Linked DNA regions of Drosophila melanogaster. The protein of the gene in region 1 purifies or fractionates together with the protein of each later gene. This does not show direct contact. Each region holds a gene or a part of one and is shown in the gene's direction. Other genes may lie near its edges.

Region 1 (10,383 bases):
TCGGGGAGCTCTTCGGGTTCCGATAAGGATGCTAGCACTGCTATAAATGCGGCGGCTGAGTCGGAAGAGGACGACGATTCCATTTTGATGGATGATCTGCCGGATGAGCAAGAGCCGACAGAAAAACAGGTCGTCATTGGGGAGGAAGTGGACACCATGGCCATGTTCACCGAGGCCGTCGATGCGGAGATGGAGACCCACCAGGAGTTGCACGTCCCCGTCGAAGAGCCCTTCTGGTATCGCCTCACTGTCGACTTCCTGAACAATCTTATCAATACCGTGGTGGAAAATGCGGAGAACGCCGAGAAGAACAAGGAGAACCTGTTGGACAAGCGCAAGATGTTGCTGGAGCTGCAGCGTCTGGTAGACGACTACACCTTCGAGAAGTACCAAAACACCCTCCTCAACAATGTCGTCTGTGACTACTTCCGTCGCAATCGCAAGTTCAACAACTTTCAGCCACTGCCACCGGAAGATGCTGCTGGCGAGTTTATTCGCTACATGAATGCCCTCAACTCGGTGGACAATCTGATGGAGCGGGTAAAGCTGATCAAGATCAAGAACGGACACAGTGCGTCGCGCGCCATGCTGGAGCTTAACTCGTATTCTGTTCTCGCCTTCAACGAAGAGCAGCGTCTGGAGGGATTCATGCGCAAGACCCTCATCCGCAAGGACATGGATCGCTTGAGGCGCGCCCTGGACAACGATCTTAGGCGCATGCAGGATCTTCGCAACCAGATCAGCGAGAAGCGCTACGAGCTCAACTTGAACCTTCACAACCTGGCATTTGTGGATGAGGTAAGGACGAATGATGCTAGGAACTTACAATCTTGTTGGAAAAATACGAGTATATTCTTCTCTCGCAGAAAGTGATGAAATTCGAGCGTGTTACCGAGACGCTGACCATTTCGCAAATGCTGTGCGCCAACGAATCCATAATACAGTTGAGCAAGCAACTAGAGGGTAAATTGATGAACTCTAGAACTTTAAGTTAATCGTTAAACTCACCTGCGTATAAATTGTATAGAAAAGTGCAAGGATGTTGCGGTCATGCAGTCGAACTACAAGAAGTCCATGATAGAGGAGACGTGCGTGCGTGAGAAGCGGGACATGATCTCCTACATGCTCTCCAAGGCGAGGGCCGAGTATATAGATCGATTCGAGCGGCGAAACAAGCTGCGCAAGGATCTGACCAGGCTGCAGCTGGAGCACGCCGACCTCAAGACCAAGCGGGACAAGCTGGAGACCAAGGGCGGACTGCTGTTCAAGCCGGGCCTGATGTACGACTACGATAAGTGCATGGCCGATATACAGGCCCGCCGTAGTCACATCCAGGCCATGAAGAAGACCTGCAACGAGTTGGGTAAACGCATTCGCGCCTGCGAAGACTCCAAGTACCAGTCCAGTTTTTCGATACGGTATCTTAGTTAATTAGGATGCATTTCTAATTTTCTAAGGATTTTCACAAATAAATTTGAGTGTACCTTATATAACTGTCACCCATGTGTGAAAATGTTGAACATTAAACGTAATGTAACGAAAAATTAAGCTTTCGAAGGAGAACAATTTAAAAAGGTACTTCCCCGCCGATTTCAGGTTTCTTTTGACAATCGATAATAGCGGATGGTATTTTTCTGCTTGTCGATAAGCACTCGTTGCTGCGATAGTTCAGCCCTGGCAACCAGCTGTTCGGCGATGTGATAATAATTTTGGTTTTTTTTTTACACAACACGTTTAGCGCAAAACTAAATCCTGCATTTGTGAATAAAAATCTATATAAAATAGCAAAGATGTCCGTGCTGCCCAACGCCGGAAACAATGAATCGTCGGTGACGGCGCCCAAAATGTTTGGCGATCCGGATTTGGATCGCATGGCGATGGAGTACGTCGGAAACATGCAGCGCTACCGCGAGAACATCATAATCCCCAAGAGCAACGGCCCCGTGAAGATCAAGACCAACGAGGAGAAGTTCATCGAAACGGCGGTGGAGAGCTGTGGATTCAAATGCACCATGGCCTGTGTGATGGGTGGGTGACACTATCTACTACTACTACAAGCTAATTGTTCATAATCAAAACAACCACTTGCAAAACAATCCCCTCTTGATTATGACAGATTATTGCATATTCAAGTCATTGGACATTTGAATATATGTCCTATATGTCCTTAATCCATCCATGGTTATTATTTTATAACAATACCTCTTAATTCGATTCACCAATCATGCTTGATTATTATATGTTATTATTAATGGTTAATTAATGAAATGTTTACAAAAAGCTAATCAAATTATAACATGTTGAGTTATTTACTTTTACAATATTCTATTTATTTGTTCAGATTCAGTATTTGTTAGTAACTTAAATGTAAGAATTTAAATTTATGTTAACCATATATCTATACTCCATTTCAGGCTATGGCTTGGGTGCAGCTTTGGGTTTGTTTAGCGCCTCCGTTAATCCCAACATGGCCGATCCGTTCGCGAATGAGAAGAAGCAGACGGCCAGGGAGGTTTTCCGCGAAATGCGCTCCACCACCCATTCCTACGCGAAGAATTTCGCGCTCATCGGCTGTGTGTTCTCCGCCGTCGAGTGCACCATCGAGAGCGTAAGTCCACCTGCTCAAAAGCGTTGTGTATTAGTTTGTATTAACTAGAACTCCTTCTGATTTTTGCAGCATCGGGGCGTCACGGACTGGAAGAATGGCACCTACGCTGGAGGCATCACTGGAGGACTGATTGGTTTGCGGGCTGGCGTTAAGGCGGGCATCATCGGCGGCCTGGGATTCGCCGCCTTCTCCACGGCCATCGACTACTACATGTATTCTAGATAGGCTCATATTCTTCGGTTACCTTGTTTCGTAGTAAATGTTTGTTTCTAACTAACGTCTATGGATATGCTTTTGTGAATTGCCGCCAAGGAAACGCTTTCGTCACGACCTATAATGGCCCCCATTTCCGGTTGGCTACCATTTGGAGCCCTGACATTTGGAAAAGTGCAGCTGCCACACATTAATAATGCGCCCCAATCAAAAAGGCACTGTGTGGCATAAACAATGTGCCACAGTCTCGCTTTAAAATTCGGCCAGCGAGCCCCCGACCGGTTTTCTTTTCGGGGGAGCACTGTGTCCACTTTTGTGGGAACGCGAACGGGAATCTCGATCCAGCAGCAAATTTCCAGTTTCGGTTTTTTTGTTCAGTTCGACTCGAGCGGCGGGCAGGTAGAGATCGTTCGTTGCTGGCTCCTCTGCGCTAACGTTTCCGTTTTCGACATCAGCCTTCGCGCGTGTTTCTTCTACAGACGAGGATGAGCATCGTTCCCCAAGCAGCTGCAAAAGTGCAACAGCAGCAACATCGGCAAGATCAGCAGTAACCGCAGCAACGCAAACGGGTTTCATTCGCACTCGACGGACATTTACTTTTATTGTGTGTGCGGTTGGGTCGCGTGCAGTTCACGGAATATGCAAAAGCCTTCATCATTAAATTAAACACAGACTAACGACTAGTAAGCACATGGAACTTTGCCACGGATGTGCGTCTCGTCCGCCACCCTTGCGGTTTCTTGAAAGAAACGCTATTGGAGGCGAGGCGACAGAGATCAAATCTCTTAGGTGAACGTTTACAGTGGACATCGGATAAGAAGTGAGACGGGGAACTAGTTTCTGATAGCATTTGCTAGGAACATCAAAGGCGGGACATTTAAAAGATAGTGTAATATTAATGCATTCTAATGAAACTGCTTTTTAGGTAGATACAGGTATAAATGATATTAGAAATATTTCGTATTGGAGCTGCTACATTTGTGCATTGTGACGACTTTAAAAGCTACCACAATAGATACTTACAATCTATGCGATGTCCACTGTACTTGCCTCCAATGCGATCGTGAGTCACAAGTGTCTGGGCAACATTGGTCGTCTGGCTGTGTTCGGTTAACTTCGTCAGTATTTTGTTTATGCAACCAATTCCAGAGCCACAAACACTTCTTGTTTGCCTTTCTCATCGTCGGCAGCTGCGAACAGCTCAATTCTCCATTCTTCGCTCTCGTTTCTCATTTCTCGATTCTTAATTCCCGATGCCAGGCGTCAGCAAGTTCAATGGAACCAAGTGACACTTGCAATTGCGATCGCATCTAATTGGCTCTCCTTCGGCCATTGAATCAAAAGTCATTTGGAGCAGATGTGGTGGGGCTAAGCTGAGTGAACTGATGGTTTAATTATTTGGCTCCAACTTTTTCCCACAACGAGACACAAAGTCTTATCTTATCACAGCGCAATCTGCTCGAAGCCAAACAATACAGTAAAACTTCTATAGCTCGAAATGCTAATGTTGAGTACTGTATAAAGAAATATACAATAAATGTAGAAAAAAATAACAACATAATGTTGGCTTCTGATTTGTTTTTATTCCTTTCAATTCTTTAGAAAAATATGAGATATAATCGAGAGTAGTAACGAAATTACTTTTGGATTTAAAAGATACAACTTATTGATGAAATTCAATTGTAGATCCATTGTTATTTCATTTCTTAGAGATACTGAAATTCGCCGTAGGGGTGCAATACTGTAGTTCTTGTATGCTCGAGAGGCAATTGCACTTTAGGCAGGTGGCTACGAGCAATTAGCTGACGAAGAAAGCAGCAAAGCAATCTGACGGCCTTGCAAAGAAAAATATACATAGAAGTAGAGAGAAAGCAGAGGGGGAGAGCCAGAAAGGCAGAAGAGTCCGTTGATGACTCAATTAGAATTCACTTTTACTTTTTACTCATTTTTACCGACGGCTTAGATTACGATCTCAGAACTGAGAACGTGGGAGAGAGAGCGTGATAGAGGTAGGATGAGGGAGTGGAGCCCCGAGAGAGACTCTCTTCTCTTGCCCACCGATATCTAATCAAAACAAATAATGCTTCAGTCCACGGCGGCTTTACTTGATTCATATATTTAGTTCTATACTGCGAGGCATGCAGTACGCTTGCCGTGTGCTGCGTTTAAAAAGTAATAAGTAAATGTTCTGGATAAAAATTTAATCAAAAGACAAATAAGTGCAAGAACAAGAAACTCAAAAGATATAAGCAACATAACTCGAAATTCAGTACGCCTGAGTTGGAAAACACCGAAACCGAAACTCAAATCGAATCTACATATAACCGATACCATAATGAAGCACAAACTTCTGTTGTTGGTGAGTAAATATTTCAGCCATCTAAAACAGTATCCCTATCTTATCGCACATACTTTGGGCTCAGATAGTGGGGATCAGAGAGTGTTTTCCGTTAAGCTCTTTTCCTGAATGTGCCCAAGTGGGGAGACCTTTTTATGAAGCACATCGATGACCTCCTTCCGGACGGCCAGTTGGCCCAAAAAAAAAAACAACAAAATTAGGATGCCATATAGGTTATCGAATCAGATCTGTGTGAGTCAATCAGATGCGTCATGTCGAGATGTTTTCCACTTGGAGATACATCGCATTGGCTTTCAGTTTTCACTCACCGATATCAGTTGAACATGTTTTGCCACAAATTTATCTCAAGTCTTCAAGACACATGAAAGCAGCAATAGTACGGATACCAATCGGAATTTACTTCAAAACCCTAATGAAGATGAACAGAAATCGTGGGGATCGTTGGAGAAAGATGGCCGAGCTCGTATTCTCCTTATGTGTGATTGACAAAGCCGAGGATGTAGTTCTTGATGTTATTATGTTAAAGTTCCTCGGAGAGTAGTTGCAGCGAACCAAACTAGACGCATCTATGTAGAATATGGCTGACCGAATCTACTATATCAATCAATGTTATCTTACTAGAACCCATATGTTCCATAGAATGCTAATGTAAAATATATACTTGATTAATTATATAAATATTTATTGCGGTGTACACAGACCAACGATCGATGACAGAATAATTTCTTTGTTTTGTATATTGACCCAGAAATGATTGATTTAAAAAAAAAAATGAGCACAGTTTTTTAGGTTGACTAAGCAAACTTGTGTCCGTTAACCCTGTCGTATACGTATTTTCTTAGTATTCAATGCAATCAATTATGTGTGGGCAATTAGCAGTTAGACTGTTCCTTAAATGAAAATCAAGTTACTTTTGCTATATAAAATTCCTATAAAACATTGCATTGGTATTCGCTACACGTCTCAGCTTTTTAGAACTCTTGGATGCAGCAATGCAATTATATTAATGGCGCCAACCTTACTGGTTTGCAAAGTACTTTCGTCTGTCTGAACACTTGTACTTCGTGGCAATCGTGACATATGAGAAGCAGCTTCAAATCAGACATACAACACTCTGTCCATGGTCAGAACGATGGAAAATGTGGCGAAAATTTCAAGGGACACGTGCATATTACTCAGGTTGTTTTTCCGAGAATGTTATAATCTCCCTAAAGTACTTTTTTTTTTGAGACGAAATGTAGCAAAGATCCCCATTTGATTTTTTATTAAAAATTGAGGAAATTCCAAAAACAATCCAAAAAATATTTAAATTAAAATTTAAAACTCTTGTAAGATTTTAACTAGATATATTCCACAATATTTCGAAGGAAACGGAAAGCACTTAAAAATTTATTTTGATTTATATATGCAATTGTATCATTTAACTCAAGCGCTTATTATCATTTAGTTCCTTGCAGGAGCGGCTTTGCTCCTGGCCACTGAAGTTCGGAGCCAACATGAGGACATTCCGTACCAGCCGGTGAGCAACATCTGCCAGACGTGCCTGTGCCTCAGCACCCAGGATGTGGATCATCGGACGCACTTCAACCTGGACTGCTCGGTGAGGAATTTCGAGCACATCCTGGCCCGCTGGCCGGAGCAGTTTGGCAGCCAGGCGATTGCGTCCGGAGCTGCATCGGAGATTGTCGTCTCGTACTCGGGCAATAGGATCAAGTTGCTCCAACAGCTGCCGGCCACAAATGCCAGCTTAACTCTCTCCTGCCGCCACTGTGGCCTACAGGATCTGCAGGCTCCGCTGTTCATGGACGTGCCCAATGTGCAGGCCCTTTATATCAGCTGGAATGATATAACTGACGATGCCTTGGTGCCGGATCTCTTCAGGGGTCCTTTCCGCAACACTCGCTACGAGCCGATTGGTTTGCGAGACCTGGACCTGAGCCACAACCGGATAGTTCGACTGGATCGCCGGCTCTTCGAGCACACTCCCCACTTGACCAAGTTGAACTTGGCCTACAACAAGCTGAGTTCCCTGGATGAAGCCACCACAGCCTCCATTGGATCGGTTGCTACACTGCAGCGACTGGATCTCTCGCACAATGGCCTGATGACTTTGCCAGCGCAGCTTTTCTCGAAGCTCACAAGCCTCCGTTTCCTGGACGTCTCCGGAAATGAGTTTTCCACGATGCCAGCCAGCCTGCAGCTATTGGGCAAATCTTTGGTTCAACTCAACTTGGCGGGAAATGCATTTCTCAGCTTGAAGGAGAATAGCCTGCAGGGCTTGGTTTCCCTGAAACGACTGAATATAAGTAGCATGCCCTCCCTGCGAAGTCTGGAGAAGGGTGCTCTGAACTTGCCTGCCTTGGAGCACCTAGATTGCTCTAGGAACTCGAAGCTGGAGCGCTTGGAGTTGGCCGATCTTCTGAGCAGTCGAAATTTGTCGCAGTTGGACTTGTCCTGGAATGCACTGACTACTCTGGTTATCAATGCCACCGGTTCGAGCAATAACAGTAGTAATTCTACGAATGAGACCTGGCCACGACTCCGTCGCATGAGCATCTCCGGAAATCCCTGGTATTGCAGCTGCGAACTGTTCAAAGCCCTGGAGCTGATTGGACTGAACCACATCGATCGGGAATGGGATGGAACTGAGGCGCGTTGTGAAACGCCATACCTTCTGGCCGGATCTCCGCTCTCCAATTTGACAGCCGAACGTATTTGCAAAATGGTGATACCCAAGAAATATCGCGAGGTGGACGAGGAGCCACCGCGATTCCTGCGACGCCACTACATAATACTCACCGCCATTATAGCCAGCATTGTCCTGGTAATTGGTCTGGTCATCGGATTCGTCGTGGTCTGTGTGCGCCGACGGCTCAAGGGCAGCGATTACGGAGTACAACCCATCCGGTACACCAGCGTTAGGGGCAGCAATCTGTCGCAGTTCTCGCAGCTGCAGCCCGTCTCGGTGGCCAGCAAGTTCAATAATGTTCATGCCGGGAGCAGCAGTGGGGTGACCACTGGTGCTGCCAATGCCTAACACGGTGTTAAAATCCTAATACGGTTCAAATTCCGAGCTAGCTGCACAAGTTTCGAGCCAAAGATGTCCACGACAGTGACGCGATCCCAACCGAAAGACTTCCTGTGCGTGCTATCCTGTACATATGTAGGTGCTCCCTGTATTAATTTCCACAAAGGAGCTGATCCCATTGCCAGTCCCTAGACCCTAGTATTTAGTGAAGCCATCGATGTTTGTGTATTGTACTTAAGATCCGCACATTAGTGTGTAATAAAAGATTTTTAATTTCAATTACAGTTCTTTACATAGAGTATACATATATCGGTAACGTGATTGCCAAACTTATGTTTTTTTTTTAACAATGATTTTTAATTAAAAGTGTAATTAAGTTCCTTAAACGCAAGTGTCAAAACGAATTGCCGATTCAAATAGTTTAAATGAATTTTTTCCAATTGCTTTCACATATGTATTATGTAGAGTTGGCCTACTTAATAACATTTATTCATTGCTTTGTTTTATTTTGTTTTGCTATGTTTTATTTAGTTATAAAAATGGTAGGGAACATCAAAACGAGGAACAACCGAAAGGCAGAAAGTTGTGTTCGGGGTGATGTGGCGTCGCTTGGCGAGCGGTCTATCTCTCCAATTGGCTAGATAAATGATAAAAGCTTAAACTATTCAGAGCAAATATCCAGATAACAGGCTAGTGAACAACAAAACAAACAGCCAGCCAGCCCGTCTAGCATTCACTTTCAAGCAGCTCCTCCCCACCGGCGGCCACAGGTGGTGGTGGTAGCTTAAACAGATTAATAGCCTGCTTCTGAGCAAGAAATTGACGCATTTCAGCAAAATTATCACGCTCCTTGTGCTGTTTGCTGCGTCGCCTGAATGCCTCTTCGTCAGCAGAGTCCGAATCTGAGTTGCTGGAGGATTCGTAGACAGGTAAGGGTGCGGCATCCGCCAAGCGATTGTCCTCCTGCTGCTGCTCGACTCTTTCCATTTTGCCAAACAGCTCGTCCACATTTATGCCCTTAGAGGCCAGAACCTCACGCTCCTTTTCCAGCATAACTTGTCTGATGGGATCGATGCGATCTTTCAGCTGTTTGAGGACAGGCTTAAACCTTCCCTTGGTAATACGCTTCTCGAAGTTAAGCAGTTCCTTTTCCGGCGAGGGAAACGGTGCATTCTGCTCAGCTTCAAAGTGCTGCTCCTCGTTTTCATCGTACATGTATGCATAAAAGTCATCCCTCTGCTGCGGAGCATCCACGTTCTGCGAGAACTCAACCCTAAGAATGCTCTCGGGGAATTCATCGTCGAGATCCTGCTTGGGCTTCGGCAACTCTCCTTCCAAATCCAGCTGACTGTGCAAGAACTTGTTGTAGACCAGCATCAATCGCTGGAAATCATCACAGCAAACGGCCAAGGCATTTTCGATGCCATGCATATTATTGGCCACAGCCACCAGCTCCTTGGAGTTGTTCTTTTTTGCCGCCTCTGTGACAGTGAGTTTTTGAAGAGTCACGTCCAGAGCTTGACATTCTGCGGCCACGGCCACCATGCAGGCGCTTAGTTTTAGCGAGGAGTGCTGCAGCACAGCAATTGGTCCACTCTGCTGTTGCTCTGCTCTAGTCGCATTCAGCTCAGCCAGTTCCAATTGCTTCTTGTTCTGCAGGGCTAATGCTAGATTACTGAAGTGCTGCTCCTCCTCTTGTACCAACTGCCTCACCAGGCTGTCGATTTTCACCAGATCCTCGCTCAGCTGAGAGATCGAGGGACGAGTTGTGATGGTGAGTGCCAGCCGGAGCAGGTATTGTGACTGCACATAGGCGAAGATGTTGTGAAAGTCCTAGAATAATTTTATAATTAGTAAGTTAGATGAGGAAGTTTAATATAAATTATAACATTTTGAGTGTACCAAAAGAAAAGTATATTTACAGAAAGCATTGGCGTATTACCTAGATAGATAAAATAGATTGTAAGCTCTACTTATTGTCTGATTCGCCTCTAAAAGCAATTAGCGACTACAAATTGTTTATCATTTATTTGTTATCAGTTATCTGTTGAATGCGTCATTAAAGATTACCATATGCACTTTAAATTCATGATATGGGCGAATAGTGGATACCATTTGATACACTGTGTATCAAGCATAATAATGAAAAGCCAGTTTATATAAGACTTTATACGA
Region 2 (7,266 bases), on another chromosome or scaffold:
AAGCCTTTCAGTTTGGCATGCCAATATATGTAGGTTATTTACAATAGTTCTGGTATAGAAGTTATTAGTTACATTTTAAAGTAATATAGTATGGTATAAATAATCCGGGATTGATAAAGTATATTTCTGTTTTTAAAACAATAACATTTTGAATAGATCTGCTTAGTGTATAGAAATTTTCGTTAGCTAAAACAACGTATACTTTTTATTGTTCATATATCGATGATCAATGCAAACAATTTGGGCTTCGAGCGGATGCTTTTGTTTATTCTTATTTATCTTGGCAGTGAGATAAGCGCCAGATAACTGTTAAGATTCGAGATACAATTCTGCTGAATTCTGTTTCGTTCTTTTAAATATTTGGTAGATAAAAATGGAATTCGCGAAAACATAAAAATAAAACACATAAGTTCATCAAATTTATTACCTCACATACCCAGCTCCCTTCCGCTACGTCCGTTGGCATCGGGACGATGTGGCTCTGGTGGACTCCAGACACCCGGAGCTCCCGCCGCCGGATCGCATAATGCTCTGGCCGAATGGCAGCCTGCAGGTGGCCAACGTGCAGTCCAGTGACACCGGGGACTACTACTGCGAAATGAACTCGGATTCGGGTCATGTGGTCCAGCAGCACGCCATCGAAGTGCAATTGGCTCCACAGGTGTTGATTGAACCATCGGATCTCACGGAGCAGCGGATAGGTGCAATCTTCGAGGTGGTGTGCGAGGCCCAGGGAGTGCCCCAACCGGTCATCACCTGGCGGTTGAACGGCAATGTCATCCAGCCACAGAGCAACACGGGGAATCGGCAAAGCCTCATCCTGGAGATCAAATCGAGGAACCAGGCGGGCCTCATAGAATGCGTGGCCAGCAATGGAGTGGGTGAGCCAGCGGTGGCCAATGTCTATCTCCATGTGCTATGTGAGTAATTAAGCTTCAAGTCAACTTGAGCAATTAACTTTAACTTACTGACCTTCTCGAATCGACAGTTTCGCCCGAGGTGAGCATACCCCAACCCGTGGTGTACACCAAACTGGGCTCCCGTGCCCATCTTGAGTGCATTGTGGAGGCGGCACCGGCGGCCACGGTTAAGTGGTTCCATCACGGACTGCCGGTGGCACTGGGAGCCCACTCCACCACTCACGAGTCGGAGTTGCAGACGAACCGGTCGGTGGATCACTACGTGAACGCCGTGCGTCACATGCTGGTGGTGAAGAGCGTGAGGAACGCGGATATGGGGCAGTACGAGTGCCGCGCCAGCAATCAGATATCCGTGAAAAGCGGAAGTGTTGAGCTGACCGGCCGTCCGATGCCCTGCCTCTTTAAGATTAACCCCGGCACCCAGAGCTCCACGTCGCATGTCCTCGTTTGGCAGACCGAGAGCCTGCTACCGATCATGGAGTTCAAGCTCAAGTTCCGACAGATCCCCTCGAACAATGTCACCCGCCAGGTTAGAACCAACTGGACAGAGCTCACGATCCCGGCTCAGGCCACAAACGGTAAGGATACTCTTAAGCTTATATCCTTAGATTCTTCTTTTCATGTTCATAACGTTTTATTTAGGACTCATCTATATAACCACATACACTCTACATGGCCTCCAGCCCGCTAGTCTCTACGAAGTTTCCGTTTTGGCCAGAAATAGCTTTGGTTGGAGCGACAATAGCAAGATAGTGCGTTTTGCCACAGGCGGAGAAGGTGAATTAATGCAAATTACATATGAATTCATTGATTAATTGTCCTCTTACTTCCACAGTTGAACTGCCCAACTACTCGACTGAATCGGAGCTTCAGGACGATTTTACCGAAGAGGACTTCCACAACGAAATCACCCAGAGATCTGAGGTTCTATCGGCCAGCATGATGTTCAACTCGGGCTCGGTTAATGGGCGCGGCGGAATCAGTGCCTTTATATATTCCTTATGTCTTATAAATATATTACGATTAATAAGTTAGATCTAATCCTAAAAAATCTTAATAAATGAACATTCAATGTTAGCGATAGCGCATATATGATTCATATTGAGATTGCTTTTGTTGAATAATACTTCCGTAAAAAAGGTGAGATAACATTTTTCTGAGCAGTGTATCATAGTAAACAGTAAGTAATGCTGGTGACTATGATACTATATTTATCATTGACTGCAATGAAATATACATAAGTCAAACGATGGCATTTCCTTTTTCTAAAAAAAAATAATAAACTAAGGTTATTTTGTAATTTTAGTATTAAATGTATTCGAAAGACAACATAAATAGAAATATAAAAAAAAAGCGTAAGAACCAATTTTAAACTTACAAGGAGTTAAAATATGTATATAGGCGGCCTACAGTGCGTATGTGTTATATGTTTAAATGAAGACTTGGTAACTTTAAAAAGAAAATCTCTGCATTGATGAACCCATAAGCCCCAGCAAACAACTTCGAGGGTACTCTTTCAGTATAGGGCTTCCTCTTTAAACTTCAATTGGCAGTGACATTGCGGACAGCTAACGCATCTTTCAGGCCCCAAGACCCAAAGACTCCCGCTCTCTCTCCCTCTCCCTCTCTCTCTCTCTCTCTCATTATCCGAACTCTCTCTCCCTCTCTCTGCAAATGGACTGTTATTTAAAGGCCCCAATGCATCGGAGAGCGAAGCACTAAGTGTAGAGAGATATGGAGAGAGCTGTTCCGCTTATTCCAATCGTTTCGAAGTGCTTTTGGCATCAGCACGCGCTCGACTTTTAGTTCTCGTTTGAACAGCTTCGCGTTCGGTTCTCCACGCAGCCCCAGCGCAGAAAAAAGGTCTCCATCCACAGCTCCAACTGAACCAATAGCCATTGCCTAGCGCCTAGTGCCCCGCAAAACCCTAGGCTTAAGGCCAATTACCGACAGCTGTAAACGTAAACGTTTGCATTCGACCTGGCTAAAACGTGTACAAATCGCTTGGGAAATGGCGTGCGGGCGAAAGCGTTACCAACGCGCGAGTGCTTTAAACGTAATTCGTACCAAAATCGGGAAAAACAAAAGGGTGAAGAGGAAGAAACCACTTTTGTACCGCTTCGGCCGAATTTCAACTCATCTCGCGTCGGTATCTGGGGACCAGAAACCAGTTTTCCTCCTCTAGGCTCTCCGGGCAAAATAAATACGAAACAAAATAACAATCTCGAACGCAGCGCACCGCATCCATTCTGTAACTCTGGCGGCCCTGAGAAGCTGTGCCGAAACCTAAAAGATTTTGTGATTTCGTCTTCGGGCCAAAACGACAGGCGATGATTCATGAAAATGGCCTACGATATGGCCAGAATGGCCAGCAGATGTGCTCCATATCTTCACTTTTATCCTGCTCCTCGGGAGCCCATTTGGCAGAGATTCAAATTCAAATTCGGTTTCAGTTGCAATTCTTGGCCGTCTCGCTCTTTCTTCGCTGGCAGATTCTTTGCTGCACATTCTATAAATATGTATAAATATGTAAAATAGCTGCCGTTGTGCCGGCAACAGAAATACACCAAACAACAGAATAAATGGCAAAGGAAAATGGTCAAATGAAAGCGAAAATGCAAGAGGAAAAGCAGCCAGTTGTAGAGCAGGCTGTGAAAAAGGTGGAGGGGGGGGGGGGGTGGGGAATTAGGGACCAGCTGCTGGGAGCGGAAAGAAAAAGGGAAATGCTTACAGAAACGCTGAATGGAAAACAAATTTTCTATACATGTTTTTATTTACATTGGGAGTAGGCAAAAAACGGGAAGAAACAACAGAAAAGTTTTCAATTCCAATTGGGATCCCCCAAAAAGCATTCAACGGATGCAAGACAGCTGCATCTGTGCCTCCCCCCACTCACACAAGTGCACACCGAGTGTGTGCGCCTGTGTGTGTTAACTTTGAGCGCAATGTAAATAAACAAAGCGCCAAAGACAAAAACAACAACAATCAAGGCATTGATTTAAAGAGAACCCTAGTAAAAGAACTCACAAAAAACGAGAATAAAGTTTGACCAAACAATCCGAAGCTTAAATACCCTGAAAAGTTTGGTCAAACTTTAATCTTAATTTGACAAGGAATTGAAAAACTATAATGCCAAAGTAATGCATTCGTTTTATTACAAAGTAATATTAAACAGGAAATTAATGTGTTTTAGATAATTCCCCGCGTGGCTTTCATCACAGAAAGTATATCTAATTATTCCCTATATGGCCAATTAACATGTCAAAAATGATTGAAGTCGCTCAGCTTAGAATTTTTCTATTGCATCAGGTTTATAAATTAAAATACCCCATTAAAGGGTATCAAGTAGAAAACAACCTAGTTGCACCTACTCCCTCCTTTGATTTTTTATAATTGATAAACAGACTGGAGGGGCGTAAATTCCGTTTAGAGGTTGTTGCCGCATGGAGGAGGTGCCAACGAGCGTCAGTACACACCGTTTATCTGTATCTGAGGTGTCGTCTATTCAGGTGACAACCCATAAAATACTGGATGGGGAAAACTCAGCAACACAAGTGAGTGCGGAAATTCTCACTCATCAGGGAGCTTTTGTTCAGCGATGCTTATGGAAGCAGGGAAAAAAGGGAAATATTTACAAACAGCAGCAGATGGCAGGAAGATGCATTGAGTTTTCCAAGCAAAAGTAACCATTGAAATAAATATATATTTTTATGGTACTTTGTACATATATTCAAAATGTCTTCAACTCATTTGCTACGTAACTTCTAAAGTTTCTTAAAATGATCTAAGGGATCGGATTGGGTTTCTATTTACTTAGAAGTGTGAAAGCTTTCCATCAATCTAGTGCTAAAAAGAGAATCAATAAGTCGACTATTTGCCCGCCAAATCTTGCGAAATGTTCAAATTTTTTTTTTTTTCAAATGCATCAGCGATGGATTATGATCATCATCAGGCATTGCAAAATTGTTTGTTTTATGAGTCGAGCATATAAACAACTTAGTGCACATATGTGCACATGCAAATTGTTTGTTTGTATGGGTGAGCTATGCCCGCCATTTGCAAAACGGCTTTTATATCAACAGCCCGAATTTTGTGTACTTTTTTTTTTTTTTTTTTTTGGTTTTTGCATCGACTTTTCGTGCTGTACAATTTTTTCGCATTTGCACATTAATTTATTTATATGCATAAACATTTGCATGCTATTCGACTTGGCACACCCTGACCCAACAGCACCCCCAAAGCCCCCACTTCGACCCACTTTACTGGCCGGCTGGCATTGAGTCAGCCCCAAAGAGAAATATACAGTCGAACTTCCATAAGCCTAGAAAACGAAATCGGCAAGAGATGCAAGGGGTTCTGAAGTTCTCATTTTAAAAATTAATACTCAAAGTTATTCATATAAAAATGTCTATTAATCACACAGCATCACACATGTAAACAATATAATTATTTGATTGATTTAAAAATAACCTTTTTGATATACAAAACATTCTGAAACCTATATCAGAGCTTAAACTTAAAAAAACATGGATTGTTTTTCTAAGGAATTTGCACTGTACCTTGAGAGAGGGACGCGATTGTGAGCTGCAAATTAGTAGCTAAACTAGCAAATGGCCATTTTTCGCGTAGAGATCATAATATCTTCAAGATACAACTTATCGACGGAGAGCAAATTGCCACCAGATACAACTGGCGGCTTGCATAACATAATGCGGCCAAGCGAGTGAGCAATGTTTACAGATCGGTCCAATATTTTCTTTACGCTGCCATATGTTTTTTCATTTTTTTTTTTGGTTTTTTTTTTTGCGAAAAAAATCGTTTGTAGTTGGCGCTTTTCCATGCATTTTGTCCAAGCCAATTAGAAATTTCCGGTCCGCGGCGCGACTTGTATATAAAATGCACGAAATAAACGATAAGCGAAATTAAGAAATCATAAAGCCGAAAAGTAAATTGTATTTCGGTGGTTTTTGCGGTTCCCGATCGGGAGTAACATAATGGCTTTAGCAAATTAATTAAGTACGAACCAACCATATTAATTGCAGTTAACGACCTACCTCCGACAGCTCCGAACCAAATTCCAATCGATAAAACGAACTCACCAAAACCCAGTCAGGCAAACAAACACCAATCATCATGATCAAGGCGAGAGATTCGACGAGGCTGCTGCTCATTAGTCTGCTAATTGGACAACTATACGGTAAGTCAAGGACCCAATCTAATGGCCTATAAAAACAAAGAACTAATTCGGAAAAGCGCGATACGATTTGATTGCCACCGAAGTGTTTAAATCGAATCTAAGAGTCGAAAGTTGGAGAGAGTTGTAATGGATGTGTAATATTTTTACGACTTCTTGTAGAGATACGAAGATTCGAAAGTGCGGCAGAAGAAGCCTAGTTGTACATAAAACTGCTGTTTGAAAACTGGGTCATCATTGGGTTGATACCAATCAATATTTTCAAATTATATTACCCAGCAAGAATATATCTGCATTACATCAAGCTAATATACCCCATCTGGTTTGCAGCAGTCAAATGAAAATTTGATTAAAACTATGTCAGTTTAAAGAGTTTTCCACGCCTCAATGAGTTTACGTAATTTCCAGATATTATGAATAACTGCGGTTCGTTCAGAAATAAGTATGAGCAACGCCACCCCAGATACGAGCCCTCACGTTCACATACATTTAACATATTCTACTCATTCGTACTCCCCAGAAAGCTCCAGATACGCTCGTTTATAGTCTTTAGTGTATATAGGTGTGAGCCACGTGCGTATGGCGTTATCTTTTGCGTAAACTGTTGGAAAAAAACAAGTATATCTTATCGTTCGTGAGAGTTACCACCGCTCTGAAAGTTAAGTTTCATTCGCTTTTTGAAATATGGCGCAAATTGCTGATAACGCTCCACATTCCACTACACTTACATATATACCTTGGCTCGGTAAAGGAAAACCTACCACCCAGTATCCAAAACCGGGTGCCATGTGTTCTGGAATACGAATAAAAAATGAATATCGCCCAGCGAGTTGAATAAATATTTGCCATACACGAATGCTGTGCAAAGAATGCCATTTTAATGTTGAATATTTTCTCGTAAACTTTGTTGGGACGTGAAAACGCCCCCATGCTCCAGATGTAATCATACATATGTACGTACATACATACATACACACATATGTAGATACGTTTTTCGATATTGGTACGCATATATTCTTCCTTTTTTTAATTAAAAATTAAATTCGTCCAATTTTAGCCATGAGATAAGGCCTATGACCGAAAATACCATTAAAAAACAAACTAAAAGCCACGGGCCCCAGGGAATTTGGAACTTTGCCTTCTCATATATCA
Region 3 (6,336 bases), on another chromosome or scaffold:
AGCCACTGTTGACGAAGCATCCAGGGCTCCTTTCTCAGGACTAACGAATCTGGAGCAACACTTTTGGAGTGGAAGTCCGATCCAGCCAGCTCTCGCATGTTGGCAGTGGAGCAACAAAAGTTGCATGCCGCAAATTGCCTTTTTCGTGGAGCTGGCTATAAAAATGTGGAGAGGATACCATGCGAACAGGAACCGCAAGCCAAAGGATAACAATTGGGAAATGATTATTCAAAACAGAAACTGGGGAGCGCTCAGTTACAGGATATCTTTAGGGCATGTGTGAGCAATCAATCATGCAAAGCGAAAGGTCTTCATTTATGTTTCTTGTGCTAACGAGAAATGTTTTAAGTCCAAAATTAATTAATAACATAATGCATAAAGTCACTATTCAAATAATCAGATTTAACACAGCTGCTAAGAGAACATTTCAAATACGTCATACATTTCCCTAATTAACACTAAAATCGGAGCTCTTCTCTTGAGCTTGAGTTATGTTCCGGATTATTGGGCTTGTAAGTTTGAGCATTACATCCATTCTTCATCCATTATTTCAGGGAAATGCTCGTACATTGCTACCCACTCGTGGGCTTCCCCGGCGTATACTTAATATTTGAGCAGGCAAGAAGGTTGCCGGCCATTATTTGTTCATTATTCAGTTGTTATCAGCTGGATCTGAGCCAGATCCAATATACTGCCGCCTTGGGGCTTCCGGCCCACTGCCTTCTGCCCGCTGCGGTCAAAGGTCGCATTCTGTGGGCACGTCTGCCCATTAGAGACAATAATTTTCTTTAAATTTGCCGATTAAATTGAGCGCAGCGAATTCGAGTGATATCCCAACCCAATGCCAACCGCAAGTGAGTGAGTGTGTGTGAGTGTGTGCACGGGTATGCGGGTTAATGGGTGCTCTTAAAGCCAGACTAATGAATTTAGCCCGGTCCGCCGGAATTGCGAGTTTTAAATTGCGTGACAGAAGCGCTTTCAAAGGCAATTAGAAAACGAGCGAGTGTGCAGGCTTTTTGCTGCACACTTGGTCCCGAGTTAACAGGCCATGACAGAAATATTTAGCATACATCTGGGCTGGAATCCTTGTGAGAGTCCTTTGCCCATACCCGTCATACAGGTCACGTGGCGCCATCAGCCGCAGCGGCACTGACGACTTCCGGGAAGCGGAAGCTGTAGCCGGTCCGCATTATGGCGAATTAATGCGCCGTTATTAGACAAATGCATGACAAGCGATTCAATTAGGGCGCCATAAACTGTCGTCGGCTAGGCACATACATACATACATATACTTGTTGTGACACTCGGCTGGCATCATTATAGTCAATTGCAGGATGGCGCAGGACAATGCGCTCGCCTGCGGATAATCAAGCGCTTTTAATGATTTCACATTCTGTCCGGCGGGAAATTGCATTTCTGCCATCGATTGCCAGCTCTAGTTTCCATTCTCGCACTCTCGCTCGCTCGCGGTGGCCATCAGAAAGCAATTTAATATTAAAATTTTCATAAATATTCAGACAGCGAGTCGGCAGAACCACGCTGGCATTGCCATGTTTGGCACGTTTGGAAGGGATTTTATTTCCCGATTTCCACAAGAACGACAGCCAGTGCCTTCTAACTCGACAGCTGCCCCAATTGATGACCGTTTTTGATTCGGGCTATTAATTAACAATTCCATTATTGCAGATGTGCGAAAATTGGGCTTTAATTAAATTGCTCGTAATGCCGTAATTATTTCACACACACACACACACGTACTCTGAGCCCACATTACCCGTAATTAATGGGATTTTAGTTAAAAATACATTTTTGCTTGTAATAATGACATGGAGGCAAATTCAAATACGAATACGTACGTACAGCACCAGCATGTGCCTGGCATTTTCAATAAATTTAAGCACACACAGCTCATTAAATGCTTTACATGTGTTGGCTTTCCCCCAAACCCAAGCTCAAATTGTAGAAAAGTCAAGATGGAAAGTCACTGCTAGAGGGATGGGTGCTGGAAGCCCCTAATTTATGCAAATGCCTATGCCACAGTGGGCGACTGTGGCTGCTCTGGTGAGCCTGTGCACTTATGTAAGCCTCATCAATTTTCCATTGACACAAAGAAGAGTTCCACAGCAATTGCGAATGTAAATAGGGCACCATAAAGTTCGTTAGGGCAGCTCCTTAAGAGTGAAGCTCGACGAGTAGATACTTTTCTGAAATGATTTACTTTAGTCACCCAATTAAATGTGTCTGCAGTTGAATTATTTTGCTCCTTTCGAAACCATTCTGATTTTTCAAGTATAAGAAACACCTTTAAAATAGTAGACTTTAAAAGGCACACTCTTTACCTACGGAAGTTCCTTTCGCGACCTCAGCAATTAGGCGGCATGGGAACCGCACATTTAATCCCAGGAGTTGGAGAACATCATCTCGACACATCCAGCAATCAGCATAAAGCCCCAGCGAAAAGCATTAGGCGTAATTACGAATTGGGCTCAAGTCCCGACTTTTGGATGCAATGAGCTAGATAAGTCTCCATCCCGATGGGATTAGACATGACTTTTGAATCGAAACTAAGTCTCGACTCCTCGAAGTGTGAAATTGCGGCTTCATAGATCCATCAATACGGCGAATCTGACTTAACTCGCAGTCTCGTAGTGTGGGAAATGATTAATGAAAGATATCGGGTGATAAGAAAAGCTGCAAAGGCGATAAGCGTGGGCGGGGAGCTATTTGCTGAGAGAGGGAAAGATAAAAAGGTAAAGCTTCGCCGTGCTATCTTATCAACAATTCAAATCCCCGGGGCTTCGGACCCTCCACTCAAGCTCGCTGGCCAAATGTATTTCAATGACTAACCCAACCAAAGCATTTTGCTGATAAATTTATTGGAAAAATCGACTCAGAATGTGTGTGAGCTTTTCCGCCACTCGATAAGATATGAAAGTGGCACTAGCTGCGAGCCATTCACCCACTCATTTAGTATACCGAGAACCTTTACGATGGCGAGGTTGGAAGTTATAAGAGGGCTGACCTTTGCCCTGCTGCTGACGCAGTTGCTGGCAGCCCACGTCGCCCGGGCGGAGGTCATCGATGCGGAGGAGACGGATCGCTTCTGCTACCCGGAGTCCTCGAAGAACTCCCGGCGGTCCTGTGAGTGCAGCAACGTGAGTGCTTCTCCCTGGGGAAACCGAGCCCTGCGCATCGACTGCAGCTACAAGGACTACAAGGTGGCGGATCTCTCCCTGCTGCTGCCACTGTACATCGACTCCCTGGACCTGTCCTGGAACGCCCTGGACTCAGTACCGATCTTCACTAGCGACAGTCTGCACCAGCTGAACCTGAGGCACAACAACATTTCGCAGTTGGTGTCCGGAAACTTCAAGCAACTGACCAGTTTGAGGGAGCTGTATCTGGGCTGGAACAGCATTGGCAAACTAGAGTCCGGATCTTTTGACGGATTGCCACATCTGCAGGTCCTTGACCTAGCCCACAACAATCTGCACTTGCTGCCCGGTCATCTTTTTGCCCCGCTTTTGGTCCTGGGCACCTTGGACATCTCTTGGAATCGACGCTTCAACGAGTCTGGCGGGGATCTATACACCGGACTCGGGGTGAACTGGAAACTCTCCACCTTAAGACTGGACGCTTGTAGCCTAAATGATCTTCACCTGCCCGTAAATGCACCTCTGAAAGAGCTTTCCCTCCGTCGAAACCAGTTGAAGCGGATTCCCACACAGCTGCCGGAGACTTTACTCCGCCTAGACATTAGCGACAATCTGCTGGAGGAGCTGCTGCCGGAGGACACGGCTAATCTCACCCAGGTGCGCCAACTTTTTATCGAGGACATGCCGGTGCTCCAGAGGGTGGTGGCCAATTCCCTGACCCACGTAGATGTCCTCGAGACATTGAGCTTCCAGAACAGCCGTCAGCTTAGCCACTTGGACGCGGAGGCCTTTGGACCCATCATGACCACCCCCACCAAAAAAAGAGCTCTGCGGTCGCTGAGCTTTCGCGGCACTATGCTGCGCACCTTTAATTCCACGCTGGCGCCGATTTTTACTCAGCTTGCCGAACTGGATCTCAACGGTCTGCCGCTGCAGTGTGACTGCGAGCTCGTCTGGCTGAAGCAGCTGCCGGTCCAAACCAACGGGCGCTGCTACAAGCCGGCCCGCATCCGTGGCATGCTGGTCACCTCAGCCCGCGGCGACGCCTTCAGCTGCGACACCTGGCCGAGATGGGCCTACGGCCTGGTGGTGCTCTCACTGATCGCCCTCAGCGCCGCGGGGATCTACCTGATCGTCATGGGACTGAGACCCCATCGGGGAGTCACCATGCGGCGCAAGGTCGGTGCCGGCAGTCCCTACGCCCGCGTCACCATCGAGCCCAATCGCCAGGAGAATCCCCACTAGGTGTCGCCCAGTACCTAGTACCGTCTAAGTTCTTGTAGTCAATCTTGTAAAATCGCCAAACAGAAAATGTAAAGCATTTTAATCTAGTGGAAGTTACATTTGAAATATATTTAAGAAAGTACCCACTCAGCTCCAGATATATTAAAGACGTCCCAACTTGATATTGGGATGGAAGGCTACATCACGATCAGCACCCAAAACTTTCGATGGATGGGATGCGCTGTACTTGAACCTTATCCTAAGTGGCCGCTTTGAGTGAAAACGGTCGACGGCGTTCACATCGTATTCTTCCTGCAGAGCGCAGAGATTGGGATAGCGAGGATTCCTTCCCGACCTGCATCCTGTGGCAGCCACGCCCACCTGGTAGACCTGCTCGCGGGGCATATTCCTACGGGCAAAGTTACAGACGATGAACTGCTGGTGCCACAGCATGTGGCTCCTCTGGCGGAGCACGCCGCATCCCATGTGGGTGGAGCTTTCCTGTATCAACTGCCGGAAGCTGCTGATGTTGCTTGATGGATCGGCGGCTTGCAGATCCTTGCTGGCTCTCATGTACTGGCCAAACCAATTCGAGATCTTGTGGCGCAGCAGCTCCAAGTCGCTGTGCTTTCCCGCACTGAAGATTACGTGGCCCGTCAGCTGGCCCACGTGCTTGAATCGCCTGGTGTTGCGGCATCCATCGCCGGACAAACTGCACCTCTTTGCCGCCAGCTCAGCCAGCTGTGCCAGCTCGGGATCCCAGCGGACACTAGCCATTCGGCGGGCGGGTCCGAAGGCGGAGAGTCCGCCCGAAGCCACCTGGTTGCGATAGAAGTTTACCTGGTGCACAATGAACGCCTGCAACTGATTGCTGAGCGGGATTAGCCTGGCCTCCCTTCCGCAATCGAGGCCAAACGTCTGGATCGTATAAGGCATTTGTTATTTTATGAGGATCCGTATAGGAATTCGTACGTATACGTATATACCACTTACCCCGTTGTTGTTGCACGCTACGTGGTCGGTGGAACGCGGACACCAGTGCTCTTGGCAATAATCCCAGGAGTAGGCGGGAAAGGAGTTGAGGGTAACTATCACCAGGCAGATGAACCACACTCTGATCGAAAACATTGTTGACTGTAGAAGGGAGCCCATCTACTCTGAAGTCAATCAGTACGAGGCCAGAAAATTACCATTTTCACGGCTTAATAATCCCAAAAATGCGAAAACAAATCTATAATACATACGAATGTGTATAGATGATATATGGCTAGTCAAAGCAATAAACAGTTCATCTTCACAACTACAAATGGTTTTTAAGTAGGCTTTAAAAAATTAATTAATTTGTCCCCCTACTCGTATTTAAGCCCAATTGAATTGAATTAAGCCTGTCGATATGCCACTTGCGATGAGTCCTTGGCCGGGGGTGACTAGAATTTATATGCCCGACCAACTGGCAGCACTCCATTGTGCGCGGCATTAATAATAATAATACAGTATGTAATAGTCGCGTCATAAATACTCGGACCAACAGCTTCAGTTGCGAGGGTGGCGATAGATTTACGACCCTCGCGAAACTGGAATTCGCATAAATAAATATTTTTTGTATTGCCTTTCCCGTCTGGACACCACCCACCAGTATGGTGCGCATTATTAATTTCGATATCTGACGGGCAATTATGGTGCCCAAAATGGGCGGCGTTCTTTTTAGCTCATGAATTAGTTAATAGGGGATCCGAAAAATTTGGATTGCTCATACCACCACTACTAGTTGCAGCTCATGATTAAAGAATAAATATTGTACAGGAGCCATTCTGGATTATATTCAGAGTTTAAGCAGAAGGAAATTAAAGTAATAACTAGTTTGGTCATATCGGTAGAAACTTTGTTGTAAATCCATCCCTTTATGCCTCATAATTCGCATTTCTATGGCCAGTTGTGGGGCAATTATTGACAAGTA

Evidence for each region.
Region 2: the proteins of CG7702 (region 1) and CG13506 purify together in Drosophila melanogaster (affinity purification with western blotting; one large-scale study listed by BioGRID). This does not show direct contact.
Region 3: the proteins of CG7702 (region 1) and CG4781 purify together in Drosophila melanogaster (affinity purification with western blotting; one large-scale study listed by BioGRID). This does not show direct contact.

What each region holds. Positions count from the first base shown.
Region 1 is NT_033777.3:18,666,195-18,676,577, forward strand, and holds CG7702 (uncharacterized protein), read left to right. Parts: upstream 1-3,195; 5' UTR 3,196-3,368; exon of another isoform or gene 3,369-3,504; intron 3,505-4,943; 5' UTR 4,944-5,156; coding exon 5,157-5,180; intron 5,181-5,484; exon of another isoform or gene 5,485-5,541; coding exon of another isoform or gene 5,542-5,721; exon of another isoform or gene 5,722-5,900; intron 5,901-6,627; coding exon 6,628-8,217; 3' UTR 8,218-8,485; downstream 8,486-10,383. Other genes in the region: CG31231 (uncharacterized protein), read left to right, coding at 1-798, 867-963, 1,028-1,431; CG31229 (uncharacterized protein), read left to right, coding at 1,791-2,028, 2,415-2,608, 2,678-2,833; CG31230 (uncharacterized protein), read left to right, coding at 5,542-5,721; dind (diamond), read right to left, coding at 8,935-10,041.
Region 2 is NT_033778.4:22,380,412-22,387,677, forward strand, and holds the start of CG13506 (uncharacterized protein), read left to right. Parts: upstream 1-2,722; 5' UTR 2,723-2,783; intron 2,784-5,962; exon of another isoform or gene 5,963-5,983; 5' UTR 5,984-6,053; coding exon 6,054-6,117; intron 6,118-6,983; exon of another isoform or gene 6,984-7,117; intron 7,118-7,171; exon of another isoform or gene 7,172-7,266. Other genes in the region: wrapper, read left to right, coding at 441-920, 989-1,498, 1,563-1,697, 1,756-1,955.
Region 3 is NT_033778.4:24,638,867-24,645,202, reverse strand, and holds CG4781 (uncharacterized protein), read left to right. Parts: upstream 1-2,963; 5' UTR 2,964-2,990; coding exon 2,991-4,400; 3' UTR 4,401-4,520; downstream 4,521-6,336. Other genes in the region: CG3640 (uncharacterized protein), read right to left, coding at 4,542-5,297, 5,373-5,507.